Arabidopsis thaliana: one gene and its partner. The protein of the gene in region 1 interacts with the protein of each later gene in a biochemical or structural test. Each region holds a gene or a part of one and is shown on either strand. Other genes may lie near its edges.

Evidence for each region.
Region 2: the proteins of NIA1 (region 1) and GRF2 form a complex in vitro, tested with the Arabidopsis thaliana proteins (one study listed by BioGRID).

Annotation. Positions count from the first base shown.
Region 1 is NC_003070.9:29,234,910-29,241,392, forward strand, and holds NIA1 (nitrate reductase 1), read right to left. Parts: upstream 4,576-6,483; 5' UTR 4,459-4,575; coding exon 3,405-4,458; intron 3,327-3,404; coding exon 3,186-3,326; intron 3,094-3,185; coding exon 2,861-3,093; intron 2,422-2,860; coding exon 1,096-2,421; 3' UTR 812-1,095; downstream 1-811. UniProt on the Arabidopsis thaliana protein: Nitrate reductase is a key enzyme involved in the first step of nitrate assimilation in plants, fungi and bacteria.
Region 2 is NC_003070.9:29,459,555-29,464,125, reverse strand, and holds GRF2 (general regulatory factor 2), read right to left. Parts: upstream 2,736-4,571; 5' UTR 2,244-2,735; coding exon 1,767-2,243; intron 1,590-1,766; coding exon 1,467-1,589; intron 1,355-1,466; coding exon 1,238-1,354; intron 1,137-1,237; coding exon 1,074-1,136; 3' UTR 737-1,073; downstream 1-736. Other genes in the region: AT1G78310 (VQ motif-containing protein), read left to right, coding at 1-123. UniProt on the Arabidopsis thaliana protein: Is associated with a DNA binding complex that binds to the G box, a well-characterized cis-acting DNA regulatory element found in plant genes.

The DNA of each region.
Region 1 (6,483 bases):
AACTTGTACTTTTTTTTTGATAAAAATGTAAATATCAATTCAAGAAATGAAAGATTCAGGAATTACAAAGTAAATCCTAAAAACATGGTTCCATGCCAAAAAAAGGTAGAACTTGTACTTTCGCCGGTTGTTTATATATCCCACTTATTCTTTTCAGATTGCTTACAATATATCACAATTCGACTGCAGATATTTATTATAGAGTATATGTTTTTAGAGATTCGATCTTGATACAAAGCGATGAATCAGAGTATTCAATTTCATTATATAGTTGCAATATCACCGAATCCGTTCTTATTATTTATTCACTGTGGATCTTGAATTCTCTTTATAATTAATAATTAAATATGGAATCATGGATACCTTCATTTTTAACTTTCGTTACTCACTATGAAAGTCTTGTGTGACAAAAAAAAAGATCCAATGTTTTTTACATATCACCATTCTCCATAATATTATTACTTGTAAAATGCGTATGAACCACGAATCTTGTGGGGCCGAAACGAAAATCCATTTTAGATCTTTTTCCATTTTTTGTATCGAACGCATACTGTAGCATCATTCGTCTCCCTTTGACATAATGATATGCGTATCTTTGCATTAAACGTTTATTTTCATGCATGTTTGTCTTTTTTTGTTGTCACTGACGATTGAAAGCAACACGACCACAAGTGGTAACTAACTTAAAACTATTAGTCTTATACGACAAAACGTTTACCAGGCGTGATTAAATGAATAACACTTGATGTGAACTATAACTAACTTATTAGACGACCAGTAATAGATGACACGACACATTATGGAAGCATAATAACTCAAATAGAAGATGTTGTGACATGAGTCCTGACATGCAATAACAAAAAAAAAACGATAATATCAAGACACAAGAAGTTTGAGTTACAATAAGTTCATCATTTATCATCATCATCATCAACAACATAGATCATAATTAAACACAATTTTATACAATATACAATTTGGAGCTCTGATAAACAACAACTATAACAAAAGTGCCCAAATAACCATGTATATACACACATAAGCGATACTTGTTATCAACTTTCGAATTTCCAATAGCACAGAACTTGAGCAAATCTAGAAGATTAAGAGATCCTCCTTCACGTTGTAACCCATCTTCTCTAGATTTGGCTGCAACGCAAACTGAATCATAGGCGGTGGTCCGCATGCGAGTGCTAGCGATTCGCCTTCCAAACCTTCAGGGATATGTTCCCTAAGCACAGCTTCAGTTATAAACCCGGTACTGTAACTCCAACCTTCCTTTGCGATTTCAACGACGTACCAAATCTTTAGCCTCTCCTTATGCTTACTAGCCCATCCTTCTAGCTCTTCCCTCACAAGAATGTCATCCTCGGTTCTGTTTGCGTAAACCACATACATCTCGGTTTCGTCCTCTGGATCACTCAATATAGATTGAATGATCTGGTAGATAGGAGTGATGCCTGTTCCTCCGGCGAGCATTGCTAGTTTCTTGGCAAACTTAGGTTTGCCGCTGACCAGGAAGTTGCCTTTGCCTTTGTACTCGATGTGCCCTAGTGGACCTTTGATATCTATCATTGACCCGATTGGTAACGAGTCTAAGTGTTGAGACATGAGTCCACCATTGGGAAACCTTGGATGAACGTCTTTGAAGTAAACTTTGACGACGAGGTCGATATGACCAACCGCGTCGATGGCGCTGGTGGGAGTATAAGCTCTGAGACAGAGTTTGTCGTTTATGTTGGCGCAAACGAAAACGTGCTTCCCCACGGGTAAACCAAGCTGTTGATCTTCTGATGGTAATGCGAATCGGAACTTACGAACGTCGTGCGAGATCGAAGTCTTCTCAATGAGCCTAACCGGGATTTTCTCACGTGGGTTGACCAAAGCAATGTTCTTTTGAGGAGTTAGCTCTTTGATTGGAGCTAACAAAGGACCAAAGTTTGAGGCACCATGAACTGAGACGTTAGGGGAAGAGTCGTAGCCAGTGGTGATGAGTTCACCGATACGGTAATCTTCCAAAAGCTTCTTGGCTTTGTCAGAGTGAATGGCTTCAAACTCTTCGGTGCAATCTGTACCTGCGTTTATCAGGATAGAATCTGTGCCTCCTGGATGATCTTTCAAGAAACGTGTACAGTCATAGATGTGACCGTGGACGATGATCCATGCAGAGTCAGCAGTGTTGTGTTTTCTAACTTCAGAGATTGAATACATCTTCGAGGCAGTGTTCATGAAAGGAGATGAGACAGATTTCTTCAAGGTATTGTTGGATTCTGAGGAAATCTCAAGCTGACGCTCCTTTGCCATCCACCCACCCGACTGGTTTCCGGGTCTGGTCGGGTGTTCGAAAACTATCCCTATCTCTCCTCTATGAGGCTTGCACACGTTGGTCCTAATCCTGAACCAGCAATTGTTCATCATCCCCTGTTTAACACAAGTCAACGTCGTTATTGCTTTAGTCAACATCGTTAAAAAAATAACAATTAGCTGGAGACCCTAGACTTAGACTTATGTAAATTTTATATAATTTCGATTTTAATCTACATAATTGCCCCGCATGAAGGGAGATTATAATACTTAAACGCACTACTAAAATGAACTGTACAACAGAGACACTTAAAGAATTGGTCTTTAGTTCCATGTTGATTAGTGCTCTATTAAAAGATTCCGTAAGATTAGTATTGGTAGGTATCACGTTCAAAAGAAAATATCATCAGTAGTTCCAACTTTGTAGGACGAATACAAATATCAAAATCGAATAGTTTACTCAAAAACAAGATTAAACTATTTAAATCATATAGTAAAGAATAAAGTAAACTAATTAATTCTATAATTTAAAAATATCAAGAGAGAGGATTATTACCATGAGGTTCCAGATGAGTTTATCAGGCTGAGTATTGAAAGACTCGTCCCAGGCTCGAACCGCGACGTCTTTAGCACTGAGCAGATCAAGAACCTCAACGTCAAGTGACCAGAAACACCAGCACCAGAATTTACCGTACTTGTTCGGTTTCTCCTGGTGGTCAAGCTCACAAACACTCCACGTGTCTCCTCCGTCTAGAGTCACCTCAACCCTCGTTACCTTCTTACCTCCTCCTGTTTATTTCATCAATACACCGATCAGGATTTTAATTACATAGTAAAGAATCCTTTTAACTTTTAACTAAAGCAAAGTTAAAATAAATTACCAGAATAAGCGTAGCCTTTTAATGTGTACGGCTTCTGAGTAGTGAATGCATTAATCGGTAAAATCTCTGCGTGACCAGGTGTTGTAATCACCGAGTTTATATTAAGCTCGTTGATTATGTATTCAGGCTTATACCACCAAGCTGTAACAAAAACAAGTAAATAATATTAGCATCGGTAACTAAAATGTAAAAGAAGACAAGGGTAAGTTAATAGTTTACCTTCGGAATTTGCCAGCTCAGCATCAACGAGAGAAGGAAGGACTCGATTGTCTTTATAGTGATAGTAACTGTCAGATTCTTGAGGCGTGACGATGATTCTCTTTAACCATTTAACCATCCGACCACCGATGAAACCCGGTACAATGACCCGAACCGGAAACCCATGATCCGGCGTTAAAAGCTCGCCGTTTTGCATATAAGCTAAGATAATATCTCTAGCCGGATCCATCGCCATCTCCTTCTTAATACTTGTTCCGTATTTAGATCCGCCGCCGCCGGGAAGATCCTCCGCTCCTTCGAAGCAAACGTTTAACGCGCCTCCTCTCCGGCTATAGATCCCGCATCGACGGAGGATTTCGCTTAACGGAATACCTTTCCATAGAGAAGTAGATACTCCGGCGGATCCCCAATTGAATCCGATCGTTTGTTTCACCATGTTCTGTTCCTTGCGGCGATTACCGGCGCAGACGAGTGTCACCGGGAATTCGCGGCTGGGGAACTCGGAGATTAGCTCTTCCATGGTGAATTTAGCCGGACGTTTAACGAGTCCGGTAATTTCGATTGACCAGTCTGACCAATTCGCTTTGGGAACTGCACCGTGGTTGCGGACGTAATGGAGTGGAACTGGAGTGATGAATCCATGGTGCATAAGACGAGGAAGAGGTGCTTCGGCGTTGAATGGATGTTTTCCGGTGAGACGGAGCATGGATGAGTTACGTTGAATCCAACTATCAGCCGTTGATTCATCTCTCGGATCTAAAATCGACGGTTCTAAATCGCTGTTTGATTTTTTAACCAGCTCTTTGTAGTAAGGGACGTTACGGTTATGGCTCTCGTCTTCGTCGTCGCTTGAGGAGTCGTCGTAACTGTCTACGACGGTGGTGATGACTTCGGTTTCTTTGACGATTTTAGTTTCGGTGAGGATGACGTCGAGAGTTTGGTTTTGGTGACGGTGGCGGTCGAATGAGCGAGGAGAAGGAACGAGAGGAGGTTTGAAGGCGTGAGCGACGCCGTTCATGGTGGGATAATGGCGGTTATCGACGGAGGTCGCCATGGTTTAGTGATTGAACCGGTGATAAGAGAGAGATAAGCTATTTTTTTGGTTTTGGTTTGGTTTGTGAAATTTTTTGGTTTCTGAATGAGTAAATGAGAGGTTGTATTTATAGGGGGCGTTACAGAGATGAGTAAATAAAATAATTAATAAATTAAGAGAGAGGAGAAATTGACAAATGTGAGTTTGTGTGGTCGCTGAGTAGAGGGACCCACCTACCTAGATCCTAAGGTTTGGCCTTTAAGGCGGGAGATTTTTATTTCATAGGATATATATATTTGCTTTTAAATACTAATGCGATATGAAGTTAAAAATAAAATGCGGGTCTAAGGATTCGATCCGTGGGCAATATCGTGGGAGGGTACTATGATTATGATACCTCTCTCACTCAACACTTAACTTTAATACAAAGAAAGAAAAAAATTGTGACAAACATATGCATAGTTTTCTATGGAAAAAAATTATATCGTCAATAGCCAATTCATTTCTTTACGTTAAGTGTTGAAATGTTTACTGGTCTTGATCATAATTTAGCTAGTTATTGATAATATAGTTTTGTTAAAAGTTTCACATTTATGGTGTCGGAATTGTTTGTGGCCATTTAACAAGAACATATTATTTATTTTAGCGTAAACCACAGTGGAAAAACCAATTATAGACTGCAAAATATATGTAGAATATGAAAAAGCATGTTCATGCATGTTTATTTCTTTAGAGTTAATGTACTCCGACACTGAAATTGGAAAAGTCAGAGAAACCCTATTGGAGTCTATACGAAACTTCCAGGAAGTACTTTATGTAATAAACAAAAATATTGCACTTAAAAAAGAAGAAACACATGCCTTCCCTTGAAGCTATAAAATTTAATAAATTGAATACGAACAACAATCGAGTAACCACGGGCAAGATACACCTTTCTCTTGAGGAAAAAAAGCTGAGATAAACCTTCCCTTGGATCCACAAACATGGACTCTTGTATAAGCAATGCTGAGTTCTTTTTTCTCTTCCTCACTCACTACTAGTTCTTGCTAGGGAATGTTCTAGCTAGCTAACGTAACGTACTTACGACATAGATATAAAAAATACCCATCAAAAAAAAAAAAAATAGATTTGTCTATGCAAAATACTGGGTATTCTCTTTTACAATTGTAAAGTGCGGATGCAGCGGAGAGTAAATTTTGGAGAAACTTGAATTTTCAATCGAAGCACTAGAATGTTTTTTTTATCAATGTGTCACGGCGACAAAATAGTTTATTTATTTGGAATATGCATAAGTTAATGTGTGCCCCCCAAAAAAAAATGCATTAGTTAATGTAAAACAAGAACAATATTACCTAGTTTTATTCCACAAATATATGATATGGCAACGAACTTTTCGATAATATTGAATGATGATTAAAGACAAAAGTAACACGTAAACTTGCTCATAGTTTTGGGAAATTGTATGTTAATGAATGCAAAATATCATAGATGTATGACTCAAGATTAAAAGTACATCACGTGTACATACATATTACATAAAAGGGTATTAATCAGCATATTCACAGATAGATTTTGTCTATATTGACTTCAATTTCTTAAAATCAACGTCAAATTAGACGTCAGTGTAATAATAAGAAAATGGAGAGTGAGAATCCTGTGGGCTAAAACATATATGTATGATATGATATTGAGCATATTGTTGACTAGTTTAATATAGAGAAATTGTATTAATTAATTAAGTCGAGAAAGTAAATATCTCGAAGATTTTTATGGATTACATGACGATTAAGAAGATAAAGCGCAATTAAGTATAAACTAAACAGAGATTATGGTATAAAAAAGGAGTTTAGAGAGAAGACTTTGGAGGCTAAGTGGCGCATGGGAACACCAACGGCCAAGCAAATACACGAACGGGGCAACCAAACAAAGGGACGGGTCGTAATATTATTTTTGTCACTTGTTTGAATTTTCGATTTTCTGTTTTGTTTTGTTTTCTACTAAAATGGATTTTCGATTATTAGATTATTAATTATAAATGATACATGT
Region 2 (4,571 bases), 220 kb from region 1:
CCTAAATCTCCGTACGGATTACTCTCACCGAGCATACTTTTATCGCCATCGTCAGGTCAATTAGGGTTCCCTGTATCTCCGACGACGGTGCCGCTTCCTAGCCCTAAATACAAAGGTCATTGATCAGAAAATCGGAAACCCTTGTCGGTCAAAGTGAGAAAACGTCGTCGTTTTGACCGTCGCGACAAAATTCCCTTTGTTCTTTTTGTACATCATTAGTGGAGAGTGGTGGGATCATTTGTTTTTTTTTTTGTTAATTAACTCAAAGATTACTTAAATCCGTTTTTTTTTTTACTTTCTTTTGTTTTCATGGTTTGTTCATGTTAGAAACAAAGAAGACTAGGAAAAAGAAAGGAATACACTTTTGCAACTCTATTCAATTTTTATAAGTTTGCCATTATGATTTCATCTCTTTGTAAATCAGATTGCATACAAGAGTTTTTTCTTCATCGTCTATTCGATGGGGTATTAAATTTTTGATTGGTTGATTAGCTATACCAAACACTTCACTGTTCCTTTGGTTGAATTTTATGCTCTGATGCTTTCATTTTAAGTTGAAACTTCAAACTCTGACGAGATCATTAATTTAAACCTGTAAAGTGTCAAATGACTAACGAGTGTCTATTGCTTAAATAGTTCTTTTGAAATGTATTTTTATTTTTATATAATCAAATTGATGATTGATTTCAGACCAGGTAAAGTAATTGGCTTTACGCAGTCCAATAAACTAGTCCGCTTTTAAAATTAAAAATTGATAAACAATCAATCTACGCAACAAGATAAGAGACAAGAGACTTTATGATCTTCAAATTGATGAGAAAAGAAAGCAAGTTTCGATTACACAGACATTGAAATCGATAACAACAAAGAAATAAGAAAAGAGAAAATAAATTAAAAAGAGATAAAAAGATGATTGATGGTTCAGACTTGCCACAAATATGATGAATGAATAAGCTTTTGAAGATGAGCGAAATGGCAAGAGCGACCTCTTAGATGGATTAAGAAAAACATATGGACGAGAAAGAGAAGAAATTCCAAACCCTAGAAGAAAACTAGCAGTTTCACTCAAAAGATCACTGCTGTTCCTCGGTCGGTTTTGGCGCTGCTGCTTCCTTGATCTCATCCGCAGCATCATCCTAATATAATCCCCACCGTTACAGAATTTAGTCAATGGAATGCGAATCATCCATAACAGAAACAAAGAAAGAACAAAGGTGCGGGGATTATATGAACAAACCTGCATATCAGATGTCCAGAGAGTGAGATTGTCACGAAGAAGCTGCATGATCAAGGTACTGTCTTTGTATGACTCTTCACCAAGAGTGTCCAACTCTGCAATCGCCTCATCAAAGGCCTTGACGATACATAACAACAACAAAACCAGTCAAATTTATGTCCAATGAGGTCAAGTGTTAAACCAAGTCCAATCACATTATCATAATTGAAAGATGAGTAGATTGAAATACCTGTTTGGCGAGGTTACAGGCACGATCAGGAGAATTGAGGATCTCGTAATAGAACACAGAGAAGTTCAATGCAAGACCAAGACGAATTGGGTGTGTTGGAGCAAGCTCTGCATTAGCAATATCCTGCACAGATAATTACACATAGAGACTATAAGCTCAAAACCTAGACAATCTCAAGATCTTATTCGAGAATACACAAATCCCTAATTTAAGTCTCATTATACTGGAAATCTAACAAACCACCATCCACGGATCACACACTAGACTCAAATAAACTAGATCTGAGATTCGGAATCAAACCTGAGCAGATTTGTAAGCGGCGAGTGTATGTTCGGCGGCGTCTTTCCTCTCTTGACCAGTCTTAAACTCAGCCAAGTACCTGTGATAATCTCCCTTCATCTTAAGGTAAAAGACCTTGGAATCACCAGAAGCAGCGGCAGGGATGAGTCTAGAGTCAAGCAACTTAAGGATTCCGTCGCAGATTCCGGAGAGTTCCGTCTCGATCTTAGACCTATATTCACGGATCGCCGTGACGTGGTCATCGTTACCACGGCTCTCTTCCTTCTGCTCGATCGATGAAATGATACGCCACGAGGCACGGCGAGCACCAATCACATTCTTATAAGCGACGGAGAGAAGATTTCGCTCTTCTACGGTGAGTTCATCGCCATCAACGGCGGCGGAGACTTTCTCCATAAACTCTACCATCTCTTCGTACCTCTCCGCTTGCTCCGCGAGCTTAGCCATGTATACGAACTCTTCACGCCCAGACGCCATTGTTGTTTCTAGAGAGAATCGATCTAAGGAAGAAGAATCAAAGAGGGAAAGATCTGAGATCTGATCAAAAAGAGAGAAACGGTTTCGATTAGAGAATCGGGTGTTGTAGGTCAAGCGAGAGAGGACGATGAATGAGTTTTTGTGTTTAATGAGGGAAAGTGATAAATGCGTTTTAGAGGAAAAGAGTGAAATTTGGAACCAAGATCTAATCTGGGCCGTTGGATTTGTGGCCGGTCCTGCTTTTTAAAGGGGGATTTTTTTTCACCTCAAATTAAGAACAACATAAATACACTTTTAGAAAAATTGGTAATGTGATTATTGGATAAAATTTGGTCAATTAACAAAATAATTGGTAATGTGATTTTGCTACTATTAGTATAGGCACCTTAAGGAATTATAAAATTTTGGGTCTAGTGGTTAAAATAGGGGCTAGTTTTTTGTAGATTTGTTAATATAGTTATTTACTAATTGTGAAAAGAAATTGGAGTTGTGAGATTGATACAATAATGGAAGCAAGTTGGGTTAACAAAAATGGAGACAGCTCAGAGGGACACATGTGTGTTGTGAGCATGTCAGGGGATCCAATGGACCCTTTCTTCTCCAACTCAGCTTTCACATTTTTGTGATTGCTCAAACGGTTTTTTTTTTCTTCTTTCAAAATTTAAATACTTCGGAGGTTGTCTATTCTTCAAATCTTCAAACATTCAACTAAGTACGTAGGCGATTCTTACGAGCTTTTTAAAATCATTATGTTCTTAATTATGTGGTTGTATTTGTACTGAAGTAATTTATTAAAATACTACAATATTTGTTTTTCCTTTTTCCGTTTTGCTTAATCCAATGCTTATCCAGTTATCCTAATCCATGATTATGTTTTTTCCTATCTTACTCCTTTTTGTTAATTTGTTTTATTTGCATTAGTTTTCTTGATGATTATGTTTTACATTCAATGAAATAATAAGATTACTCTATACTTTTCTAGCATAAATATTAACTATACAATAACATGTATTCATTGAACGTATAGTCATGATATATCTAAAGATCATACGTTAGAAAAAACCGTCATATAAAAAAGGCGAAAATTCGGATATGTTCGAAAAAGATTTGTGGTTAATCTAGCTATATAGCGTACGCAAGTAGATCAAAAGTTTTTGATAAGTATTGAGATAACTCCTAATTATAATTAGTCATTTAGATAATGATGATCCTTATCTAATTAGCTTTCTTATCTCTATGACTATTTATATACGATTCTCTACTTGTATAGAGACCAATCTTCATGAAAGTGTTAATACACCAGATGATTTGCTCCGACGTGTTGGGTGTGGGGGAGATAGGGACGAGAGCATGAATCGATGCGAAACGTAAGGTTTGAACCATATCGAAGTGTTCATTCCCTAATTGCCATCCCCCTTAAATTTTGGGACATTCAAGAAATATTAACAGAGATAACATTATCTGAGTTCATAACATGGATTTACGAGTGGTCGGGTTTGATCATACCTAGCAGAGATATGGACGATTGACAATTGTGTGTTTTTGACGGATGAGACGTGACATTAATAACTTATACGATGACACTTATATTAATGCATGTTGGTGCATGCTCAAGTCAACATAAAATAAGAGGTTTGGAAGCCCAACAATTGAGCATATGTGGGATATCTCCGAGGCTCCCCTGCCAATAATTTTAATTATCTTCCCTTCTTTTTCATTCTTAACTTAAAAAAACTTCCGTCTCGATGTGATCTATGACTATGATGAGTCTATCTTGTAAATCATATGATTCATATTGATAACTTACGGTATAAGTTATGATAATAACAACAAACGCATTATCTTATTTGTCGTCGACTGTCGACAACAAAAGATCTTACAATTTTATTATAAGTTTCTGACAATTAACTTTAGGATAATATTTTATTTATTTTTGTTGAAGTCTTTAGGATTATACATAAAATACTTCTCAAATACCAACGATCAAGTTACTTTAAACTTCTTCCAACGAAACAATCATTAGTTCATTCTCTTATGGAAGCCAATCAAATCCCTCTAAAGAATAAAACCATGAACTTTGTTACTACTAAAATGTTTTCTGTACTTAGTTTCGTTTAGTCCTTAAGTTGATAAATTTTTTTTACCAATCTTTACTATTTGGAGTAATGCGATTAAATAAGGTCGAATTTCGATAGATGAACCGTTAACGATTTGACGAAGACACTTTTCCTCAGTGTTATCTTCGTTCGTTGACATTAGACAATAATCCAGTTTTATCCTATTATTTCAGAAGATAACGAAAATATTTCCTTTGTCACTAAGATTCCG